2 linked regions of the Drosophila melanogaster genome follow. The protein of the gene in region 2 interacts with the protein of the main gene of each other region in a pairwise test. Each region holds a gene or a part of one and is shown on either strand. Other genes may lie near its edges.

Region 1 (4,906 bases), on a different chromosome or scaffold from region 2:
GGCATGTTAATGCACGTCATGTGCCGACACTCGTACTATACTAGACTGTTATATGTACTGCAATAACATTTGAAATAGTAACCATACGGCTCAAGCTTGCATTGAGTTAAACTATTTTGCTGCAGATTGAACGATTTTAGCACCTAATAATAACGAGGCCTCATCTCGAATGATTGGCATGACATAGCGATAGCAGATTGCTAGTTGGCTGGTTCTTTAAGTACTGCCCTGGGCAACGCAGGGTGCAGCGCTCTGGCGCCGAAGTCTCAATTAAAAATCGATTTGGCTTAGAAGACATTTTTGGGAGGGATTACGATCGCGACGCGAGGCCGGTCGTGGTAACCGCTGATCGCCCAGCTCCCATCAAATCGGTTGATCGCCGGTTAAAAGTGGCTGGCTTGCCTTGACCAAGTACACTGCGAACGATGATAAGACGGAGCATGGCTCTGGCCAGGGAAGGTGAACAGGTAAACAGCACTCTGCCGTGGATGCAGACGGGTTTCTGCTAGCGCACGGGCATTTCACTTCGGCCAGCTTCTTTCCCCCATTGACAAATTCGATTGGTTCGGTTTTCTCTGGCTTTCTGCTGCTGCGCCCCGCAATGTAGCGGACTAATATTGGTTTGGTTTTTATTACCATGTGGTCTCTGCTCTGCTCCGCTCCGCTTGCATAATAAAACTCACGCACAAGGAGCGCGGCCAGCCATGGTCTGTATATAGCCGTTCAACGATCGAAGACCGTCGATGGGCCTCAATGAACTCGGGCTCCAGTGCTTCCCATCGCTGCCACTCGATCGCTCTGATCCCTCCGGACTTCAAGTGGACCGGCCGGGAAAATCCATTGGGTTTGCAAAACATGAGAGTTCTGTCTTATCTTACGATTACTGCTACAAATTTAAAGACGCAGTTAAACCTAGTTTCTCAATAGGGCCACACACAGGCCACAAACGTTGGGCTCATTTTGCGCTTGGCACGTTTTGCTCGAAATAATTAAAACGATTTTTGGTTATTTGTAACATTTGCCATTTGCACACAACGGTGTTTACCGCCTCGCCGCAAAAAAGGGAGGCTGAGGCTGCTTTTTTGTGTGTGACAACATTTGACACAATTTAACGCTGACGCGACACATTCGTCTGCGGTTTTAGTTTGCTTAGCTCAGCTCGAGCCGCATGCCTTATGCTTCACTTAAGTTGTTTTGGGATGGGTAAGGTACATAGGTGGAACTAGGGGTAGGGTTTGGCCAGGTGCTTCACATTTGGAGCGCATGCGCTTTGACTTTGCCATTTGCGCACACTCGCAGCATTGCGACACGGCAAACAACAAAGCCCCAAAGGAAACCGAACTAAAACAACCAAAAATATATAAACGAAAACTCAGAAAAATTACGAAGCCCATAACTCTTGACATGACACGGCCAAATGCTCGGGAGAATGGAGTGGGGCTCGGCTTGGAGCTATGGAACTATGGAGCTATGGAGCATCGCGCAAAAAGTGAATTGCTTTAATGCGCCGTGGATGTGCAAAATAAAATTGGTCAAATACCCAGGTCGCAGGCCAAATACCCTAATACCCTTAGGTGGCCTTAGCATACGTAGCTCTTGACTTATAGAACCAACTTCACTGACGAACCAACTGACAATGCTATGTCCGTTGGCTGGGGAGCCGCCAGTTACCATGATCAACCGACACAAAAAATATAGTTTAAAACAAGAAGTCCATGCCATTGTGGCCAAACTGCATATATCATTTCGTCACGTGGGTGCTAAGTGCTAAATTGTATCTCTATCTTTTAGAGATCTCCGCCAGCAAGGTGATAAGGCGTTGGCTGCGGCACCTGTCCGCTCCCGCTCTCTCCCCTTTCTTCGTTACCCTTTCTCCGCCACTGCTTTTACTTTATTCGGCCATTCACTTTCTCCGTATGTTGTTTGCTTTGCTAATTTTGGATTTGCCCGCGTCACTGCAGCAACAGCGAAAAGTGAAACAGACGTCCAGAAAAACGGACGCCAACTTGCGCTTGCAAGTTCGTATGCAAAATTTCAAGAAATTATCCAATCGCGTGGCTCGGATTATTCAATTTCAGTCAATCAAATTCAAGTCCAATTCCGTATGCAAAGTAGGCTATGCTGGTCCGAAAGCAGATCGAAGATCGAGACCGCCTGGCCTCCCCAGCCGATTTCGTCACCAGCTAGTGCTGATGTAGTCCCAGTTCTGGGGGCAGCCAGCCCAACTGAGAGGCAACGACATCGGCCATGCCGAGTTCGTTCGTTACCCAAGTCTTTCGATTATGACGTTGGGAGGAGCTGGAGTCCCCATCAAAGCGACGGGCTATAACGCTAAAACAGTCGACTGATTGCCGTCGTTAAAAATCCACAAAATTGACAGCAAACGGCAGGCGGATTTCTCCTGGCAGTTACCACATACATATGTACATACATTGTAAAATCAGGGGTTATATTTTCATTTGACTCGAAACCTTTGCAAGTTCCGAATAATCCTGCGTTCTCAACCAAGACAAACGGCAAGGAAAGTGGAGGAAGTGCAGATCTCAGGAAACTGCGGATTAGTGACTTATGTGACTTATATGATTCGAGATTGTAATTTGGTTTTATTGCATTTGATTTAGCTGTAATTTATGGATTTTATTTTATGGCGAATGCTAATGGCGCGAAAAGGAAACCAAAAGTAGGCGAAGGTCGCACTGCAGAGTTATTAATTAGTACAACTGAATTTAACTAGTAACTTACCAATTGAAGAACGTTTTTAATAGTTTGGAAATCACAAAACAAAAGAGACAAAAAAATAAGCGCAGGAGAAAACACGCACGTACACACAAACACACACACGTATACTTTTAAATGGCGAGTGTAAGTGAACATACGTTTCGAGCAATTTATTGGACTTCCATCCGTTTTCGGGTAACATTTCGATGCTACTCATTGCCACGACATGCACTTAATTATAACTAACACTTCAAACTGATTTGCAGCACTTTTTTCAAACAAAAGTCCCGTAAATCAAAAATCTTTACGCCGTAAAATAGTTGCTTCTTCTTTAAGAAGAAAAGGAAGAACAAGAAGAGAACTTTGAAATGAGCAGCTTCTTCTTCTTATTATTGATCCTCTTTTCCGTTATGTACAGCACACCCTCGCAAAAAGGCACAAGCTGACGATCTAATTTGGCAAAAGTATTGCAAATACAAATAAGTTAACATTCCAAAGTCAGAAATTAAATGGCAGCTATAAAGAATATAGGTATGAGAATATTACGTTTAAAGATTGTAATAATATTACAAAGATCAAATCTAATCAAATATCAAATATATGAACATTTGCGATGTAAGGTGCATGCCAAATATAAATTTGATAAAATCAACGTAGTTTTAGATTTTATTTAATATAATTTTTAAATATTTTCATTAATCTTAGCTGTTAATTTAATAGTAATAATATCAATTGATAATTCGATAGCCGATAGTCACAGTTGGCCGGCGATGATTGTATCGATAGTATCGAGTGCCAATCGATTGCTGTTACAGCTGTTCGCGCATATGTGTGGGTGGGATTTATTCATAGCAAGGAAAATTACGAGTTTTGCGGATATAGGATTTTACATAAGTTTGCCATGCACACGCACTAGCGCCACAAATCGAGATCGGATTGATCGATCCGGAACTCCGAATATCGGAAGCACAACAAAGAGGACGGCCGACTGCCCCATGTGTGCGTGCGCGAGTGTGTGAGTATGTGCGTGAGCGTGTGCGTGTGCGTGTGAATGAAAAACCATCAACTGTGAAAATATAACCAAAAATAAGTCCGAGGCACACGGTTGCAGGCGAGGATTACCAGTCCTCCCAGATAAGCCCCGGAGGAGCAGCAGGTTCCCTCTTAGAGCCAATTCCGTCGCTTTTCAGAATGGCGGATGCCCAGGCAGCGGCGGCCGGAAAGAAGAAGTACAAGAACAAAAAGAACTCAGCGGAGAAGAACCCCAATCACAATCCAAATTCCAGTGGCCAGGTGGAGGCACAGACACCCAGCAATGGACACGTTCAGCACCAAGAGGAGGAGGCGACGGAAGACCAGGAGCCAGCGCAGGAACTCAGAGGCCTGCTTAAAAAGATGCACCTTTGCAATGGCCATGGTCACAAGGAGCAGGAGGCTCGGCCGCTTGGGGAGGTCGTCAATGGCCATGCACATGGGCACAGCAACAACAATCACATTCGCTGCACAAGCGGCAGCAGCAACAACAACAACAGCACTCACAACAACAACAGCGTGGACAGCAGCAACAACAACCGCAAGCAGCGAAGAGAAGGAGGCGACGGCGGAGGATCGGATTCGAACTCCCTCAAACCGGAGGAGAAGCCCATAACAGCCACAAGCAAAACCACTGCCAACATACACCCAACCACAACGACGGACCCAAAACCAAAAGTGTCGGAGGATGTAGCTGTGGAACAGGGAGTGCATGTGGCGACGGGGAGTGGCCACAGTCGGGAGCAGGAGAGGAAGCAACCGCCCTCCGACTATGCAGAGGGGGCCACGCCCACCATTACAGCACAGCTCCAACTGCCGGAACCTGCCATTTCAGCCGACGAGATCGTATATAAGGAATACGAGGCTGAACACCAAATGCATGTGAGTACCTCCAAGTATGACCAAGTGCGAACTGTGCGCAACACTTATCTAATTCCCCGCATATCGAACACGCAGGACATCATGCGACTGATCCAGGCGGAGCTGTCCGAGCCGTACTCGATATACACGTATCGCTACTTCATCTACAATTGGCCAAAACTCTGCTTCCTCGCCTCGCACGACAATCAGTACGTGGGCGCCATCGTGTGCAAGCTGGATATGCACATGAACGTGCGGCGCGGCTACATCGCCATGCTGGCCGTGCGCAAGGAGT
Region 2 (7,551 bases):
ATATGCTCACGCATCTGCTCCAAAGATGCTTGTACAGATTCGTAGGTGGGCTTTCCCCAGCTCTGAGGCTTGGTTACTAGGTAGTAAATGTACCGCTGGTCATCCTTCAGCACCGCAATATCTCCACTGCCCGCTTGTTGGGCTTGCAGCTCGTCCAACCTTCCGAATACCTTCTTGAACTGCACGGCAATTCCAGCACCCATCGCAAGATCTGCGCCCACACAGTGCGCCAAGGAATAGGTCTTGGGGGCGGAAAACAGATCCCCATCCACTTCGCTTAGGGTGTACTGAGGTTTGGATGACATTCCGACTACAAAAGCTCGCCGAAATGCGCTACGTAGTTCTAGAAGTTTGGGAGAATACATTTAGTTTAAATAAGGGTTTTAGATCTGTCTGACTTAGTGTAACAGGCAGCTACTAGATTAATTTTTGGTCATACGATAACACTAGATAATGGTTCGTAAGGGTATATATATGTATTTATCAAAACTCCAATCTTTGGTTAATATCCTCTCGAGGACGTGTTTTATTTATTAATACATTAAATACAGTATAAATAACCAAATATGGAAACTTTGTGTGCTATAAAAACCTCTTAGGTGTATCGTTCTTATCAACTATATAAGTATTTGGTGCATATGATGCCACAAGTCCCAAGCAAAACCATTTCGAGTGTCAAACAAAGATGGCTATATACATTAAAAGGGAGTCTTTTCGCGATGAAGCGAATTTCTTGATCCACTAACGGACCTCGATGGCAAATGGATGGTCTTCATGTGCCGGCAGGTGGGACAAACCACGTTCAACGTGTCCTTAACCATTTGTGGCGGTGTGTAGAAGAATGCAATTATGTCCACGCTATCCTCGGCGAAAACCAGATCCAGCAGACTCCGCACGCGCAACCAATCCAAACGGTCGATGCCGCATCCAAGTCTGGGAATGGCCAACTTGGTCACTCCGTGCTCCCTCTGAAAGAGAGAATATAGCAAGCATATTTAGTATCCAGTATCTTGCTCTAATACAGTTTGGTGAACCTGATCCTAACTATAATGTTTCACCTTTCTCTTTATTTTAGTAATGCAGTTTTGGTCTGTAAGCCCTTAAAAATACAATTCCTTACCATATGTTCCCGCATGGCCAGCAATGCGTAGTAGAGAGCTGCGTAAGTGCACTTTTCGTGGCTGCGCTCCTTGGTCACCAGGTTGTAGATATGTCTACCATCCTGCTCCAGAACTGCCACATTTCCGGTATGCTTGTGTTGGCGCTTCAGCTCATCCACTTGTCCGAATTTGCAGCGGAACTGCAGATTTATGCCCGCACACATAGCGAAGTCCGCACTGACAGAGTGCACTAAGGCGTAGTTTTCCGGGGCGCTGAACAGGTTCCCCCTGGCCTCCGTAATCTGACACTTGGGAGCAGCCAGCTGTGGATTATCTGAGTATTAACCCACTGTTCTTTGTTAATAAGCCATGTTGGATGGCTCACCTCCTTGGACATGTCTTCGTGCTCACAGATGAGTATCTCGATGGGATACTCGCTCTGGGAGAAGGTCTGCTGCACCAGACGCTTCACGTGCTTCCATTCAAGTCCATCGTTGCCGCAGCAGATTCGGGGCATAGCCACTTTGGTGATCTCATGGTTGCGCTGCAGAGACACTACAGTGAGAATTGCCCAATGCACTATTTTCAAAACCTCGGACTTGATGACAATTTGGTTCTGAGGGCTTCACATAATTTGACGGACAGGCGGACGAGGCCCGATTGATTCGGCTAGTCATTCTGATCAACAATATATGTACGTATTGCTTATAGGGTCAGAAACATAACATTGGGTATAAAAAGAAGCTGACTTTACTTTCTCTTCGCTCAATTATCATTCAACCCAATGATAATATTTTATAAAGAAAAATCGACGCTAAGATGGGAAGATCCATTTGTCCGATTGCTACTGTGTCCCAAAGTCCACATAAATTAACTGCATGCCCATTTCATGAAATCGTTTTTTGACTAAACATGAGACACAAGCGAAATTCTTTTGGATGACAAAAGGGGCGAACTGTTTTTAGATACTCACTGTATCGCAATGTACAAATGAATTAACTGTAAATTGACGAGGGCAGCACCAAAGAAACCAGTTTCCCAAGCGTCGAATTGTGTTTACTCTTTGGGGAAATGTCACTTGTTTGCCGGGAAACCCCCACTCCACCACCAAGACGACGGCTAAAAAGCACTCACCATATGCTCCCGCATGCAGATCAAAGCTGCCTGGACATCGCCGTAAGTGCTGGCCTCGTAGAGACTCGACTTGGTCACCAGATAGTATATGAATCGGGCATTGTGCTCCAGAACGGCACAGTTGCCTCTGGAAACACTTCTTTGCCGTAGTTCATCCACATCCCCGTAGATCAGGGCAAACTGCCAGGCGAGAGTTCCCCGTTCCGCCGTAAAGGATGACTCTACGGCATGGGCCAAGGAATGTGTCTGCGGTGCGTGGAATATGTCCAGCTTGGACTCCACTATCTTCACGTTCGCCATGGCGCACTAGCTCTCTACAGAGTATTATATATCCAACTGCAATTAAGCTGAAATTATTCTGATTACCAGCCGAAACAGAAGCTCTCAATGCCAAAAATGATTTTCGTACTTACGTGCACGCAGCGCTGGAAACTTTCACGTCGAGGTCAAAACTCGCGATAAAAACTTTTTCGACTTCGGAATGGTTTTGACTGTGTGTTTTTGGGTTCTGCACAGAAACCTGCACAAAACCAGAATGAAAACAAAGCTATTAACGGATTCTGAACAGCAAGCGGCTAGTTGGTAGCTTGTTTATTTTGGCGATTCGCCGATTTCCCACTCCCAATTTACAATGCCGTTTGGAGGTTACTATTTAATCGACTGCCTCGGCCGGCGGTCTGCAGCGGAATGCGCCATCGGAGCTCGATGTGGATGTGGGCATGGGTATGGTGGTATGGGTTATGGGTTATGGGTGAAGCGACGTGCCGGGCGAAAGCCCAGCGAGAATCTTCGAGCCTCAGTGACAACATTTCGCCCAGAGGCGCCGCCGCGGGGCTCCAAATGTTAATGATTGCACTGTAAAAAACACATCGTTTTCCACTTAATACTATACGACTTGAGTTATTATTTTATTTTATATATGATTATTAATCTATTGTGTTTATCGTGGTGTTAGAAAATTCATTTTGTCATTTGTTTGCGGAGTAAATTGCCAAGCACAGATGGATTTGGGTTTTCAAAATGGATCATGTTTTCAGACCTAGAAAGTTAAAGCGGGCGAAAGTTACTGAACTCGTTTTGAATCTTTTTTTGAAATTTTATTTTTAAATCACAAGTATGCTGTTTTTAAGCTAAATTAAAAAAAAAATGCACTAATCATATATAACCATTTCTAGTTTTTTGAAAGATGTACTTCCTAATTTTTAAAAGTTACCTGATCAAGTACTGAGAATACCGAAAATGTACTGAAATTGCATATTGGTCATTTTTTTTTTTAATTTAACTGAACTTTTTGGGAGAAAAATCCACCAGCAGGCATGACAATCCACTGAATCATAACGACGATAGTGATGATGATTGGTGGCGATGATGATGACATACATGTGCTAGCAAGTGTGAGTTGATACCGCGTAGTTTGTTTGTTTGTTTGTTTTCAGCGACAAGTTGACTTGGCATTGCCCGAAATCGTCAAAGCCGCTGTAACAGCCAATTAAGAACTTGTGCAGGCTTTTGATAGCGTTTTATAGATTAATAACGACGGATCGTTCCGATCGAAGCACCTGTATGTGAATGTGTACCTGTGCGTGGGCCGCTGTCAAAGGTAATCGGCGCTCAAGCGCTAAATAGGGATTGTATACCGACTAAAGTGCATGTATAAATATACATATGACTTAAATTATTCGTTAATTAAATGGCAGGTGAAATAAAATATACCAACACAAACAACGAACAAATAACCATATAAAGTGACAACTTGTATTCTAAAACAAACAAAACAGGCAGCAGAGCGGCAGCAGCTTTTCGATTTAGTATGAGGTAAAAACTTAAGATTTTTGTCGATTGTAGACTCGGATGACGAAAAAATATTTTATTTACTAGTTAATATAGGAAAAACTTAGTAGAAAATAGAAATGCTAAAAGAATTCAGTGATATCCATTTTTAACTATCAATTGATCATGTATTATAAATAAAACGAGAATGTTGCTTCACATTTGCTTTTCAAAACAAACGTCGAAGAAAAAGCATCACTTGCAACTCATTTTATAAATTTTTATATAAACTGACAATTTTTTTGGTTTTTAATTAAAAATATGTTTGTGTCGTAGACTATAAAAACAAATTTATGATTTATATTGCCCTATGACTATATCATAGAGTATATTCTTTTTATGCTACACAAACGGATATTCCAATTGGAATGACTAGACGCCCAATTGCGTGGGTGGTTGTCTCGGCTAATGTCTTCTACTTCATCCTAGACCGCCACCATTTATTTTCAGCTTTTCGCCAAAAAATAGCATCAAAAACAAACCAATTGCTTATGCTTTTCCTTAAATATCCTAACAATAGCACTGATTTTTAAAGTAGTTAAATGAATATTTTTGTAAATCATAACACTTTGCCTCCATATAGCTTTACACATTTACGCATGTCAAGCCGCAGCTTTGAACGAATTGTTGCATTGAAATTTAGACTTCGCTTTTCCTCTCGATGGGGCACCTTGTGAGGAAAAGCGATAGCTGCGAACGATGCCGCCAGTTCACGGCAGTTCAGCTTGTCGCCTCGAACAATAAAGACGACCGATCCGGGAGCCATAATATATATATAATATAGCTTTATAGCACGGCACTGTTTGGATTTTGGCGTGCCAATTGGCGCTAGTTGCTGCCGTTGCTGTTGTTGTTGTTGCTTTGTTTGTTGTGCTAATTACGTAAATTGCGTGTTTATTTGTTTGTTAATTTAAATACTTTACGTAGTAGTGAATTTGTTAGTTGACGACCCGCCAGGTTCGTTTTTTTTCTGGGCAATTAATCTGCGCGCGAGTAAATCTCCCGGAGAAAACAAGAGAAGCGTTGTGAGTCACTTGAGAATTAGAGAATAACTAAAAAGTGCAAGCGAAAAAAGCAAAGCTCACACTCGTCACGCCAGCTCAGCTGATTCTGATTGGGATTCTTACTACTCTCTCTCTCTCTCTCTGTCTCTCTTCATTACGATACGTAATATACGTATACGTATTTGTATACCCCTCTCTCTCACACACTCTTCTATTCTGTTTTGGTTACCTTTTTGTGGGTTACGTTACCTTATTTGCCGATATGACTGCTTTGACATTGCTACGACGATCAGTTACGGCGGTCAGCTACGACGGTTACGCCCACGTTTGCGTTACGAATTGGCGGTTTCTGCCCCAGCTTCAAAGGTGCCAATTGCATTTGCACGTTAGTGGGCGACATGCTGCTGTACTTTTGTCCAGCAAAACAACAGCAACAACAGCAACATCAGCTGTTGCAGCTGCGCAGGCGCCAAATGCGTATGCTAATGTTGGCGGTAAGTTCATAAGCTTAATTTATGCAAACAGCGCGTGCACTCGGTGATTTATGATGCTGCAGCAGATTCATGCATCGAAATCGTTAAATAAAAACCGAATGAGAGATATGCGCGCCTAACGAAAAGGGAGATATAACGATACCTTAGATTCAAACTTTCAAGAGATCTTAGGCAAAAAAATGTACCGGTTACAACCGATTCGATTCAATAAACTACATCACTGATATCATCACCTCTCATAATTGTAACTCGATGAATGGTTTAATTTAGAAATAAACAAAAAAAATTAAAAATCTGTTGTAAGTGAAAATCTAAAGTCTTCCATCAATCGTAAACAATATATATAAATAATAATAAATATGTAACTAACTAAATATGTAACTAACTAGTTGCTGGCATTATTAAGCCACAGAAAAATAAAGGTCAAAGGTCTATCTTCCGAGAATAAGTTTATAAGTTTACTCCATATCAACTACTGAAGTTATTCGTAAATACGTTTGAATTTAAGCGCATACCAACTGCAGTATTATATTTTTGTTTGCTTTTTTTTGTTCAGTTTCTCTTATTACATATTTTATCTGGTATTCGCAAACATCACAATCCTTTATCCTTTGTTAACCCAGCAAAGCCCCAAAAATAATATTTATGTTCTGGCAGACAAGTGGGTATTTTATTATGAAATGGGGGACTGTCCTTTAATGTACGATAAAAATATAAATAAAAACGAAATGGGACTGGGATTGGAGGCGTGTTCGTCTCCGCCTGCCTTGCATTTATTACTAATCACAATTTAATAGCCCCATTGAAAGCTCATTAAGCACTCACTCTTCCTTTTTATTGCAGAAAGTGAAACAGAATTTAATAACCGGTTCCACTTCAATTGCCATTTTATCAACATAACACCCGCTCCAGAAGCGCGGATCGATCATTTTTCTGCCATTACTCAAAAAAGGTGTTAATGAGCGCACCGAATCGGTCATAAAACTTGTTTCACCAAATCCAACACTTGTTGGTTATGTACTCGTTTACTCTAGATTAATTAGGGTCTGTTCCTCAAAGCTCTTTAAATGTACTTCGGGACATATATAGGCTATAACCGATAAGATAAGTGGACAGAAATCCTATAAGAACTGATATAAGATTAAATAATTAGCAGATGGAGTGCTGGGTATTTTTTTATTATTCAGCAAATGAACCAAGTCGTGTTTGATCCATTTAAAGCGAAAATGAGCCAGGTTTGGTTTGAAAATAAACTTTGTTATATTCTAGATTTCAGGTTCAAGTATTAATATGTTATCGTGTTCAAACTCTTTATCGAATTTTATCTGGTTAATAATCAATTGAGTACAACAACTATAGCTATAGTAATATGTACTAACGTGCTGTACTCAAGAATTCATTCTTTTCCATGCAGTATTTTCATGTGGTTGCCCATTTCAATTTTTTCTGAGTGGTGTGACTGGGTTTCGATAAGATAAAGCTCGTAAAGCCATCAACTTAATTGGGGTTTCAGCTGGTATGTATGTGTGCCATGTGCCCATCTTTCACATTCACTTTCGTTGTGTAAGGTCAACAAAGTTATGTGGATTAAATAGAGATACGCCCATTCACGTCGCCCTCCCCATCCTCTTTATATTTTCCTAACCACCCACCCACCAAGTAAATGAACTCAAATTGAAATGCCCTAGACCGTCGCTTCTATTCCAACTCTATCGCTTGCCATTTAACACATCAATTTCAAAGTACAGAAATAATTTCGACAAGTTCAAGGTCATTACCAGGCACACAGATACTCGGCCCACACATCCAAGCGCAAATAACTTGAAATACTCGCACACAAATAATAAATAAGCTAGTGAATAAATAATGTGTGCATATAGACCGCGAGCCCCCTATAATAGAAAAAATAGAGAGACAGCACCGACAAAAATATCAAAAATAAAACATAAACACGTTACACGCGCCGGACTTTTTTGAGAGATGGCGATT

What was found.
Region 1: the proteins of Targ2 (region 2) and CG11409 interact in a two-hybrid assay, tested with the Drosophila melanogaster proteins (one large-scale study listed by BioGRID).

The regions. Positions count from the first base shown.
Region 1 is NC_004354.4:1,338,583-1,343,488, forward strand, and holds the start of CG11409 (uncharacterized protein), read right to left. Parts: upstream 3,006-4,906; 5' UTR 2,743-3,005; intron 1-2,742. Other genes in the region: Naa30A (N(alpha)-acetyltransferase 30 A), read left to right, coding at 3,910-4,632, 4,708-4,906.
Region 2 is NT_037436.4:21,197,761-21,205,311, forward strand, and holds Targ2 (terminal ADP-ribose protein glycohydrolase 2), read right to left. Parts: upstream 5,331-7,551; 5' UTR 5,318-5,330; exon of another isoform or gene 5,160-5,317; intron 5,123-5,159; exon of another isoform or gene 4,988-5,122; intron 2,929-4,987; exon of another isoform or gene 2,755-2,928; 5' UTR 2,535-2,754; coding exon 2,235-2,534; intron 1,645-2,234; coding exon 1,486-1,644; intron 1,424-1,485; coding exon 1,121-1,423; intron 969-1,120; coding exon 699-968; 3' UTR 501-698; downstream 1-500. Other genes in the region: Targ1 (terminal ADP-ribose protein glycohydrolase 1), read right to left, coding at 1-365; CG10512 (uncharacterized protein), read left to right, coding at 5,331-5,562.